2 linked regions of the Chlamydomonas reinhardtii genome follow. The main gene of each other region encodes a partner of the protein of the gene in region 2 in a complex. Links are inferred from orthologs where the notes say so. Each region holds a gene or a part of one and is shown on either strand. Other genes may lie near its edges.

Evidence for each region.
Region 1: the proteins of CHLRE_07g325743v5 (region 2) and CHLRE_03g164550v5 are in contact, whole or in part, in an NMR structure (PDB 2MMA), measured with the Arabidopsis thaliana proteins. The link is inferred for Chlamydomonas reinhardtii from reciprocal best matches to the Arabidopsis thaliana genes CXIP1 and AT5G09830. Residues at the interface, in NP_191050.1 of Arabidopsis thaliana: Lys130, Ser133, Asn134, Trp135, Pro136, Thr137, Glu146, Phe147, Phe148, Asp152, Ile153, Glu156, Ala157, Thr160, Glu162, Glu165, Glu166; in NP_568217.1 of Arabidopsis thaliana: Arg46, Leu47, Leu48, Arg50, His51, Arg52, Asn55, Met62, Ile65, His66, Ala67, Leu68, Ser69, Ile70, Lys71, Gln74, Gln78.

What each region holds. Positions count from the first base shown.
Region 1 is NC_057006.1:3,070,411-3,076,096, reverse strand, and holds the start of CHLRE_03g164550v5 (uncharacterized protein), read right to left. Parts: upstream 3,732-5,686; 5' UTR 3,629-3,731; coding exon 3,566-3,628; intron 3,481-3,565; coding exon 3,458-3,480; intron 3,117-3,457; coding exon 3,041-3,116; intron 138-3,040; coding exon 30-137; 3' UTR 1-29. Other genes in the region: CHLRE_03g164500v5 (uncharacterized protein), read right to left, coding at 3,889-4,170, 4,480-4,638, 5,100-5,187. UniProt on the Arabidopsis thaliana protein: May act either alone or in interaction with glutaredoxin as a redox-regulated transcriptional regulator, or as a factor regulating Fe-S cluster biogenesis. The GRXS17-BOLA2 heterodimer binds a labile, oxygen sensitive iron-sulfur cluster.
Region 2 is NC_057010.1:1,903,919-1,909,883, reverse strand, and holds CHLRE_07g325743v5 (uncharacterized protein), read right to left. Parts: upstream 3,693-5,965; 5' UTR 3,493-3,692; coding exon 3,436-3,492; intron 3,349-3,435; coding exon 3,289-3,348; intron 3,120-3,288; coding exon 3,015-3,119; intron 2,416-3,014; coding exon 2,370-2,415; intron 1,801-2,369; coding exon 1,745-1,800; 3' UTR 1,195-1,744; downstream 1-1,194. Other genes in the region: CHLRE_07g325744v5 (uncharacterized protein), read right to left, coding at 458-534, 850-1,027; CHLRE_07g325742v5 (uncharacterized protein), read left to right, coding at 5,574-5,631. UniProt on the Arabidopsis thaliana protein: May only reduce GSH-thiol disulfides, but not protein disulfides. Probably involved in the regulation of the redox state of the BOLA proteins. May act as Fe-S cluster donors to Fe-S cluster-requiring proteins.

The sequences.
Region 1 (5,686 bases), on a different chromosome or scaffold from region 2:
GCGTCTATGGCCGTGGCAGTGCCGCCGCATCAACTGCTGGCAGGGGCCGCCGCCGCCGCCGCCTGCGCCGGCGTCTGTGCCTTCTTGATCGACAGCGCGTGGATGTGCGCCATCTCGGCCTTCAGGGCGTCATTCACCTGTGCAGGGGCCGCAGCGGGGGTGCGGTTGAGTACGGTATCAGACCAATGCACGGCGCACGGAATGGTAATGAGAGGCTTGTTAGGAGTGCGGGCACAGCTGCGTGCTCTGCTGCCAAGTGTGACTGGGGGTGGGCCTCGCTGGGCCCCGGCACCTTCCCCAGGCCAAAAAGCGGGTCGTGTGGTGGGAAGCTGGTTGTTCATGTGTGTTCAGTTGTGATAAAGCTTCCCGGTCGGACCCATGCCTCAGCTACACTTACGCAGCAATATGTATCGGCCTTGCCAAGCTGTTGCTGAGGTGATCCGGCACGCATGACGTTCCGAAAGCTGCGCGGCTGCGCGCCTGTCCTCCTCATGTGAGGGCATTGCCATGGCCCACGGCCCCACGCGGCACACACACACATTACACCTTTCCCCGCGGTTACCTTTGGCCCCAACGCCCCGCCCACTCCAGCTGGGCCCCAGTCAACAGCCTGGCCGCCGGCGGCCCAAAGGCTGACGCCGCACCTCCTTGTCGCCGTGTTGCACCCTTGGTCGCACCGGGGCCTCGTGTTGCAGTCACCGCCGGATCTTAATTTACGCGACTGGCCTGTCACAGAAGTAGCCTTACAACCGACTGAACAGGGCGAGTCTGTCTCAAGTCTCCACGTGACCGGGGGTGGGCCCCGCTTGGCCCCTAGTACCAATAGAGGCCAAAAGGCGGGTCGTGGGAGTGGGAAGCTGCTCGTTTTAACTTTGATAAAGCTTGCCGTTCGGACCCTGACAAAAGAGCAACGGTTAGCGCATCAGAGCATGCACGCAGTAGGTGTCCACAATTTGTCCAGATGTGGTAAGTCAGGCATGGCTACGAGGAGTGACCGCGTGTGACTCTTATCTCCGCCGTCCGCCCTGGGCCGTGGCTCACGACGCCACTGCCTTTGTCGCTAAAGCATAGTACAGTAAGGTGACTGGCACAGTTGCATCGCATTGCATTGCGCAGGAGCAGCATTACCAGTCCTCTCGAGTTGTAACTGTACAGGGCGTGCCATTCTCAAACCCCGAGTCTCCACGTGACCGGGGGTGGGCCCCACTCGGCCCCAAACGCCCATGAGGCCAAAAGGTGGGTCGTGGGAGTGGGCAGCTGTTCGTTTTGATAAGTTGATAAAGCTTCCCGTTCGGACCCATGCCAGGAGAGCAGTGGTTTAGAGTCCGAGTGCATGCCGATTGCTGACAGTAGGTAGGCGTGCTGATGTGACTACGCCGGGTGTAACGGGTCACGGCGGTGGCTGTTATACCCACGTCGGGACCGAGTGCAGTGCTCCGGCTGGGCCATCTTGAGAGGCGGCGAGGGGCACGCCGGCGCTGACCATGTCAGCCCAATGGCCCACCCCTGAAGTACACCGGCCTGCTGGCAACCCCTTGCCGTAAACATTTGACCTGGTGGAAGTGGGCTGCTAAGCGCCACTGCCCCAGTCCGCCTACACGGCTCCCCGTCCCGGCCCCAGAGCCGCACGCCCCTTCCCAGCAGCCCCATTTCCGGTGCCCATACCCCAATTCCCGCAGCCCCACACCGTGCCCCCGCCACCCCTGCCTACTAGCTGCAAACAATGCCTCCAGCAGCTCTCGTAGGCCGCGCTGAGCATCCGTAACATTTCTCTGCACTTATGTAACATTACGGTACTGGGTTCTGCGTCGCGTTTGGGAGGCAAGCATTGGCATTATTTGCAGTACGCCCATCCCCCTGCTCATCCCTTGCACCGACCAGCTGCTGAGGCTCCCCGGTAACTGAGGCTGCCACGAACTGGCAACCGGCGCCCGCACCACCCCCGGTCACTGATGCCGTCCCCACCCGCCTTTGCTCCGTCCTTCACTCCGCGCTGACTGCTCGGCAGCGCACACTGCCACAACCGGCTCCATTACCCGTGTCGGGTGCCAGCTACTCGCCATACGCTGGGTCTAGCTTAGCTATACGTCAGACGCCGGGTCTAGCTTCGCCGTTGGAAAATGCTGCAGTTGTGTGGGGTTGGTTGGGATTTTGGGAACGGGCGGGGCAGTCTTGACCCTCAAGTCTGGGTATGTGACCGGGGGTGGGCCCCGCTTGGCCTCCAGCGTCCACGAGGCCAAAAGGTGGGTCGTGGGAGTGGGAAGCTGTTCGTTTTCATAAGTTGATAAAGCTTCCCGTTCGGACCCATGTCAGAAGGGGAGTGGTTTGGAGCATCAGACCATGCACGCAGTAGGTGCGACGATGCGGCAAGGCGTGACTACGAGGAGCGACTGCCTGGGACTCTATCTCAGACTCAGGCCAGGGGGGACCTGACACGTACTCCAAGGGCAGTCACGGCAGCAAGGGACAGGTGGTTGTTGACTTGCTGTTCTTCAGTCCCCCCGGCAATAAGGCCCACACACACTGGCATCTGGCGCCCGCCCCACACCCGGTTGCTGATGACACGTAGCGCCCGGCCGCCATTGCCGCTTTCACGCCGCAGCTGTCCGGGTCTGGTTGGGATTGCATTGGATGGCCTGGAGAGGCCGGGTGTCAGGCGACCGGGGGTGGGCCCCGGCTGGGCCCGGCACCTCCCCCAGGCCAAAAAGCGGGTCGTGTGATGGGAAGCTGGTTGTCATGTGTGTTCTGTTGTGATAAAGCTTCCCGGTCGGACCCATGCCTCAGCTACGCTTGCGCAGCTATACGTATCGGCCTTGCCAAGCTGGTGCCAAGGTGCTGCCGGCGTAATACTTTGAATGCCCTTGCCGTAAACCTTTGACCTGGAAGTGGGCTGCTAAGCGCCACTGCCCCAGTCCGCCCACACGGCTCCCCGTCCCAGCCCCAGAGCCGCAGGCCCCTTCCCAGCAGCCCCATTTTCGGTGCCCATGCCCCAAATCCCGCAGCCCCTCACCGTGCCCCCGCCACCCCAGCAGCCACGCACCAGGCGGTGTCGCGCAATGAGCGTCTTGCCCTCGAACTGGGCCGACACCACGTACACCTCAAACGCCGACCCGCACCTGCGAGCACAAGAGCGAGCAGTGCGCTTATGTTGTGTGCTATGGGGGCTCAGAAAGGCTGCTAAGCAACGGGGCTAAGTTGCCGCACGAGGGGCACACGGCGCCTCAGGCTGTGGCAGCAGACCCCGTGTGAAGCTTGGTAGCGGCCCACGCTGTCCGAGACGCCTAAGCCTACGTTCAATTTTACGAAGCGGCGCTCAGTCCCAGCCCCTAGCTCCCAGGCTGCGTGGGAACGGAGCAAGTTTGCGACCGGGGTCGTCATGTGTCTGTGCATCCCCAGCCATCCCCACGCAGAGAGCCGTTGTCCTGGACTAAGCCTTTCCCGCCAACCCTTTGCTTACCCTCCCGATGTATCGACGACCTCCTGTACAGCCATGTTAATGAACAGCGATTGTTAGCAATGTGTCACTGTGCGCGCGCATTCGCGTGTGCCAGCATGCTTTACGCACCACGCTAGTTGCTTCTAGAGCGCTCGTCAGCTTCTCCTTCACTTGATCCGCTGTCACACTCATGTTTGTAGAGCGACTTTGGAAGTGGTTAAACCTTTGGGGCCGCAGTCAAGAAGAAGCTTGCAGTAAACGTAAACAGTCTGGGCTCCGTCCGTTTCGTGGTGCTCAAGTGAAACGCAAATGAATTTTGGTTGACAAAATGTCTTTACGGCATCCTGCGCGTTCGCACCAATCCAATCCCATGCTCAGTGACACACGCTCTCGAGCACAATGACACCCCCGCCCACCAGCGTTCGGTGTCGCCCCCGCCGGACTCGCTGGTCCTACGCCGCTCTCCCCTTGCTAGCTGCGGGCTCCGTGCTTGCAGCTTTCCCGCTCCCTGGCACTGCCCCAGCCCCATCGGCTGCTGCAACCCCTGCGTCCGCCTGCGCGCCCTGGCCCCCGACCGGCGTCCCCGCCAACTCCCCGCCTCCACCGCTACTGCCGGTCCCGCTCTCGCCGCCACTGCTCCCGCTAGCGCTGCTGGCCGTCCCCTCGCCACCGCTGCCGCCGGTTGTGGCCGCCTCCCCTTCCAGTGGCGCCCCGTAGAGAAGCTTCTGTAGCAGCTGTGGGCGTGTGAGCAGCGAGGGCGCAGGCGAACCACAACCAGGGACGATGCGTAAGAGGAGGCAGGGGACTTCGGTAGGAGGAGAAGATGTCGTGTCCTTTCTCCGCCATACGGTGTGCCGGTGCAGCACTATGGACCACAAACACAACGCACACAACAGCACGTTGCTGAGGCCGATCCCCAGCCCCCCAGCCCCCCAGGCCACGCCCCTCCTGTACTCAGCCCCCTTCCCAGCCCCCTTCCCAGCCCCCTTCCCAGCCCCCTTCCCAGCTCCCCTTCCCAGCCCCCCTCCTCCCCTCCGCCCCACCTCCTTCTGCAGCACGTGGCCGTGCGGCACGGAGATGTAGTACTCGCGGTCGCCCTGCACAGACACCGGCATCAGCGCCTGCCGCGCCTGCCCCCGCACCTCCGCCACCGAGCGCTGTCGCCAGGGCGGCACCAGCCGCTCTAGAGGCACGTCGTTGTCCTGCGTGTACGTGCGGCGTGCGGCGTGTGTGTTAAAGAGCACAAGGTGTGTGTGTGTGTGTGTGTGTGTGTGTGTGTGTGTGTGTGTGTGTGTGTGTGTGTGTGTGGCCAGAGGAACACGGAGCGCGGGCATCATGATTGGCGCGCTTGGTGCGTTTGGTGTGTGGTTGGTGCGTTGGGTGCGGTTGCTTGGTGCGGGAGTTGGAAATTGGCGCGGCGCGGTGAGCTCGGTGTGGTGATGCGCGCGCCACCTCCCCTCCCCATTATGCATCCGCAGTTTCGCGCCAGCCTACCAGGAGATGTCCTCAGCGATTCAGGCGCCGCCCAGCACCGCACGCCAAAATTGCTCCACAGACCCTCCAAACACGCCCGCCTTCTGGCCCCGAGCCGGCCCCCGCCGCTGCCCCCGCCCCGCCGCCCCCCTGCCCGGCCGCCCCCAGCGCCCGCTGCAGTCGCCCTCACCTCCCTGTTGCCCCAGAAGTCCAGCACACTGAAGCGCACCACCCGCCGCTCCGGCAGCAGCAGGCTCATCTCACCCACATAGCGCCCGCTGCGGACAGCAGCAGCAGCAGCAGCAGCGACGAAAGGTAAGAGCAGCACCAGCAGCAGAAGGTAAGAGCAGCACCAGCACCAGCAACAGCAACGGCATGTCAGGGTTTTGGTTTTTGTGGTGCAGCATGGCCATCTAGCAGAAGCGGGAAACAGCAAGCCACCATGGCACCCACCGCCGCACGAAAGGAGCCACCGAACCCACTGGGAGCTGCCCGTTGCAACCGCACACACAAATCATCACGTCGCCGACCTCCCATGTTTACCCCCGCAAAAGCGAGTGGCCCACCCCTCCCTCAACATGGCCAGGCGACCACATCCCACGCTTGCGGCGGTGCGCACAGCCGGCACCGTTGGCGCGTTGTCGACCCCCTCCTCCCTGACTCCCTCCCGGACTATCCCCTCGGTTGGCTCGCTTGGCCTGATTCGGGAACGAACTAGGTCCTCCTCCACTTCCTCCCACAGCCCTCCCAAAGCCCTCCCACACTCCTCCCACACTC
Region 2 (5,965 bases):
GCACTCCAGTCCGCGCCCCGAAGCCAGCCGCAAGAGCCCACACGGCTACCCCATACACACACGTCCATTCCCGTATCCCCCCTTCCTCCTCCGCGTACCCCCCCCTTTCTCTTGCCCTTTCGGCCTGCCCCTTCGCCTCCACGCGCTGCTCTGACAGCTCCCCCCTGGACACCAGCCCTAGCGCCCCAGCACCCCCTCATCCACATCTGCCGCCTCACTACCTGCCCTGCCCTGCCCTGCCCTGCCCTGCCCTGCCCTGCCCTGCCCTGCCCTGCCCTGCCCTGCCCTGCCCTGCCCTGCCCCTGCCCTGCCCCTGCCCCTGCCCCTGCCCCTGCCCCTGCCCCTGCCCCTGCCCCTGCCCTTGCCCCTTCACCGGTCCCTCATCCCCCCCCTAACCTAGTCACTCCGCTCTCCGTGAACGGCCCCCCCACCCTCCCCCCTCGCAGCTCCCTCTCACCCGGAAGTCGGTCTTCAGCAGCACATGGTCCTGGAACTGAAGCGCGTGGCCCGCGCCGCCCGGAAACGACACGTCGGCTGTGCTCAGTGAAACATCAGGGGTACACACACGAAGAAGGCGGCGAAAGAGTAAGACCAAATTCGTAAGCAAGCAATGAGACGAGGACTAACAGCTGGGGTAAAGGGAAAGAGGAGTGCCCAGGAACGTCTGAACCCAAGGCGCCAACTCGGAAAATTGCAGCCGGCACATGGAACGAAGAAGAGCTAGAGCATTTCGCAGTCGCATGTTCATGACGTTCAGCTAGTCGAGGAGCGACGAAAGCGCCGGGCCCAAGGGTCATTCCCCCTGCCCAGTTCTGCGCTTCCCTCCCCGCCCCGCCCGCCCGCGCTTACAGGGGGCTGCCGCGACGCCTGCGCCGGAGCCCCAGCCGCCGGCAAGGTGCGCCGCAAGCGCGCAGCCCAGTAGCAACGTCAGCCGCAGCAGGCGCCGTGGCTGCCGCGCCGGCGGGCTCCGAGACCCGCCGGGGCCAGGGCCGGCGCCGTCCCCGTCGCCTTGTGCTTCTGTCAACATGGCATTCTCTCCGCTTCTTGCTCTTCGCTGTCCTGCCATGCTACAGCTGCCGGCGTAAATGCCTCAGCTATCGCCTCCCGTCAATGCGCAAAGTCGACGCTGTCAGTCTTGCTGCAAAGCGCAACAGGGCTACAAGGATGTGTGGGAAACAGGTGATGCGGAACGCATAAGGAACCCAGTTACACACAAAGCACGTATTGAGCGCGCGCGGGTCAAGGGGAAGTTTTGATGGCCACATCTCTTAACGGCCTCCATCCCGCCTCCCCGACAAGTTCGTGACCTTCCTTGTCCGAAATGCATACCAAGTCAAGCTCCATGCAGCAAGTGCCCAAGCACGCTTGCAAACAAGCCAACACTCTCCGCCAGCCCCCGCGCGCACCCCACACGTATTGCACCATGCTGCCTGCCCCACGGACCAGCAACCCAGCGCGGCCGCACCTGCCTCCTCAGCACCGCATTCCGTTCCTCCGGCCGCCGCCACCACACCTGGGCCCGACAGCTGTGTGCTATCCAGCACATCTAAAGGGGGGAGGCAGAACCACCGCCGCGGCGCGGCCCCAGTAGCCGCCGCGATAGCACCTTGCGTCCCGATCCTCCTCCTTCCTCCTGCCCTGCTGCAGCCTCCTGGTGCCGGCTGCTGCTACAGCCTGTCGGCAGCCGCTCGCCTGTCCGCCCCTCCCATCTCCTCCCTCACATTCTTCCTCCCCTTCTCCCCTTCTAGGAGTTGAGGGCAATCTCCAGCTGCTCCTTCAGCTCGCCGGACTGGTAGGCCTCTGCGGGGTGTGTAGAGGGGGTTTGCAGGCATGACCAATTAGCCGAAGGCGCAGTGGTGCACAGACCCGGGGGGGGGGGGCAGGGTAGCAGCCCGTGCGAGGTGCGGGATTGCTCTGAGCATACCCAGGCAGAAACCATAGACAACAGGATGCAGGACAAGACCGTGTTTGCGTCCAGGCAGGAAGGCGTTAGACGACGGCGGCAATCAGCGTCACGTACACGCAAAGGAGGCAGTCATGCCAACCTTCAACTGAACTGAGGGGCGAGGCCTAGGCCAGCGAGCGAGACGGAGGCGGATGGTGCAAGATGTGTTCGTGGCAACGGGCGCGGTGCGGCGCGCGTGGCGAAGCTGGACGTGCGCGGGACGGCCCACACGCAAGACGTGGCGCGCGCGGCCGAGCAGGCGGTGGCGAGGCGCGGCAGGTGCCGTCGGGTGGAGACGTGGAGTGCACGTGGGGTGGTGTGGGCTGGCGGCAAGCCGCGTGTGTCCATCGCCGCTGTGGCGAGGCTTATTCAACGTGCTTCACGCAAGCTCTACGTGAGCTTAACGTGCGCACATAAGACTCACCCATCATAATGTCGCAACCGCCGAAGAAGTCGCCGTTAATATAAACCTGTGTGTATGTATAAGTTACAATGCGAAGAGGTGGGCAATATGGGCTATACTGGGGCGGGGCCAGGCGGGGCTGCGGTAGGGGAGGGTGAGGGCCGCCCGAACCGAGACTCGTCCCCCGAGGGCCGTCCCCGAGGGCCGGAGGCCCGAGTGCGGTGTTCGTGCAAGAGCGAGGGCTGAGTTATATGTGCGGCCAACGGCGCTTAAGGAGAGGGCAGTGGGATGCAAAGGGCACAGGCGCATGCGGGATCATCAAACCAGCTGCCCACGGCGGCAGCCCGGTGCAACGCCCACCCATCCCGCGTTCAGCCAGTTGCCACTGCGCCAACTGGCTGCCACCTGCTGCTGGCCCTGCGCCCTGCTGCCGCCCGCTACTCCCGCCCGTCCCGTCGCACTGCCGCCGCACGCCCGGAATCCCACACCCCCACCATGGCCCCCCGGCCATCGCCAGAACGCGCCGTGCCTGCCAAATGCAGCAGCAGCGGCCTTCCCCTGCCCCCGCCCACCCCCAGCTCCTGTTGCGTTCACAGCCCCAATGCCCCGGCGGCTCCAAACATGCCCTGATCGAACACGAGCTCCTGGTCACGAGGCCGCGCGTACCTGCGGGAAGGTGGGCCATTGGCTGTACTCCTTCATGCCGCTGCGGATGGCGTCGTCCTCCAGAATGTTAACGGTCTGGTACGGCACATCCATCACGTTCAGGATCTGTTGTGGTACAGACGGTAAGGGCGGGCATCAAGGTGCTGCGCTTGCTCAGCGCTTGAGCAGGGTAGCCGCAAAAGGCGGCACGTGGTTGTGCGGGCCAAGCGCCCGCGTCCTGTCTGGCTTTCGATAGTCACGCATCATAATGTGTAACCGCTCGCGTGTTATGTACCTGCACCACGGTGTTGGAGAAGCCACACATTGGGAACTGGCGGGTGCCCTTCATGAAAACCTGCACGTAGATGGTGCGGGGATGGCCCGAGTCTCAGCGACACAACTCTTTTGGGGGCAGAGCTTTGCCTGGTGCATCAAAACTTACCACCACTTTGTTGGATGCAATAAGCTCGTCAATGGACTTCTTCAAATCGGGGGCCATTCCAGAAGCCGTGACGCGCACAGTCTGGCTTCGCGCTACGCCAATAGATTTGCGCGCAACCTGAGCCGGGCGCCGCGTCAAAATGGTGGTAGCCGGACGCATATTGCACTGAAGCGAGGCCATCTCGGTGGTTCACTATGCTGGCAGGCAACGGTACGCAGAATGACAGTAGCTGGCGGCGCTTTGTACACTCTGTTCATGAATTAATAATGGGTCGCTAGTCTTATGCGGATGGAGTCTTGCGGGTTTTGGGCTGGGTACTGTTCTCCCCCCGCCCCCCCCCCCACCCACCCCCAAATTACAATCGCCCCCCCCCCCGCCGCTGCCCACCCCTGCTCCCACGCCCCTCTCATTTTTTGGTAATGATGTAGGATATACCTTAACAGCAGCCATACAGAATGATAAGGTAACACATCCCGCATTAGACAAGGGGACGAAGGGGTACGGCATACCCTCCCCTGCGGCATACGTATGCATGCCTGGCCTGACAAATCCCGAACGTGTGCCACGGCGCTGCACCCTGCTGCAATGAACCCAGAGCAGCGACAGCCAATGGAGCCACACACGTCCATCAGGTACGCTTGTGCCTGGGCCTTCAGGAGCATTTGGAGATTGAAGGGGATGAGCGTGATGACGAATAATTGAGCCCCGGATGGGGCCGGGGCCTGCCCCTTTTTAATTATCGTCTCACCGGCGGCTCAAGCTACCACGCCACTGTGCCAGCGGGACAGTTCGTCAGATTCTTATGGTTAAATTCCGGGGGAGGGGGCTACAGTATTTCCACCGGGGTGCGGAAAGCGCGGGGCCATGTGAGGCCTCTCCGTTCAGCTGTGGATGGCCTCTCGGTTCCCCTGAACTCTGTGCACTCAGCTGCGCCCACGCCACGTTGGTGCAACGTCTAAAGGCCGAAGGTTGCAAAAGTATCTCATCTCCCGGACCAGCCCGGACAAAGCCGGGCGGGGTTGGCTGGTAGCCTGGTACAGGCACGGCCGGCCATGCGTGCAGCCACGTCCCGCAGTCAAGCACAAGCACAGCAGGCAATACACCAAACAGTAAGGACTCCCCACACACCTTGCCGTGCCATCCTATGCTCGCCACCAAAGACTGCTCGCCAGACACCGGCAGGTCACACCCTGCGCGCCGGCACCGCTACTGGTTGTGCACTGCGCCAGACTGCGCACGGAGCAACTCGGAGCTTTCGAAGGGTTCCGAAGGGCTCCGAGAAGCAGGGCTGAAGCCCCGATGGAAGGGAGGAGCGGGCATTTCGTGCCAGGGCCACCAGCAGGGCGCCTAGACCGCCTGCAAGCCCACTCCGCCTTCCGCTCTGGTCTACGTACGCATTAGTTCCGCAACACTCGTCAATAACCAGCTCAGGGCTGTAAGTGTTGTTACTGAAGTACTGGTTCCTGTCGGTCCCTGTGCCCTGGTATGTGTCCCGCCTTGAAGCCCTGAGCTCTGTACCACTTCCGTGCGCGCGGCTTGATGCCGCTCTCCTTGACTGCGTTGAAGCCAGGCCTGAGCCAGGCGTTGTACATTTAGCAGGTTCCGCTTGCTTGCAAAAGTAAAGTTTGCGCCGCTGGCACGATACGCATATGGTGGGTAACCTGTCATAATTAGTAGTCGCTGCGGCGACTCCAGCGCGAGACAGGACCAAGGACCTGAAGCGAGGCGTAGCGAGCGAGGCCGAACGCGGCGGTTGGCCACTTGGCGGGAGCGGCGTCTCACGTGATACATGTAGCACCAGAGTAGTTTTAGCTATAAACGGGCCCTTGATACGATAAGCTTCCTCTTACAACCCCACAGCTTCTGCCCGACCGGCGCGGCCCTGTCTGTCGTGGGAAACCACGCACCCATAACCGCCAACGGGGAATCGGTGCGCTAGGCGAGCGCTCAGCCGCGTCGCTGCCCTGTTCATTAAATACACTCGCCCTAGCCCCTTACTGTCACCGACCTGACTTAGTGACTGCACGTGCGTGCGCGTGGCAACAGTGTTCCATCATTAATGCCTAGACCAAGCCGCTTCGCCAGGTCAAGTCCGGCAGCGGCCCAGTCATATGACCTTACTTTATAGCGTGGAAGGGATGCAGCGCAGGAGCATTGCTCTCTGGCGTCGCTCGCCCCAGGGCCCCACGATAGATGGTAAGTTGGAGCTCAGGGCTCGAGCAGGTCCAATTGCATACGCGACCCAGACAGTTTTGCCCCACATAGATGCGCGTCTTGTGAGTGTATACGTGCAATCCTTTACGACCCGTCTGCGCGGGTGTCAGACGAGTGGTCTCCGGTCAAACAAACGTGAACCCCGCCGGCTGAATTCCCCCGAGCGACTCCAGACGCGCCCTACAGCAGTAACTGCGGCGTTCGACCAGCCGCGCACTCCTGCCCTGCCGGTGCAAATTGTCTGCCATTTGCTGGGGTCTGGGAATCAGCTGCATCCTGCGGGACTCGGCCAGCCTGCCTTAACACTGTCCCATCG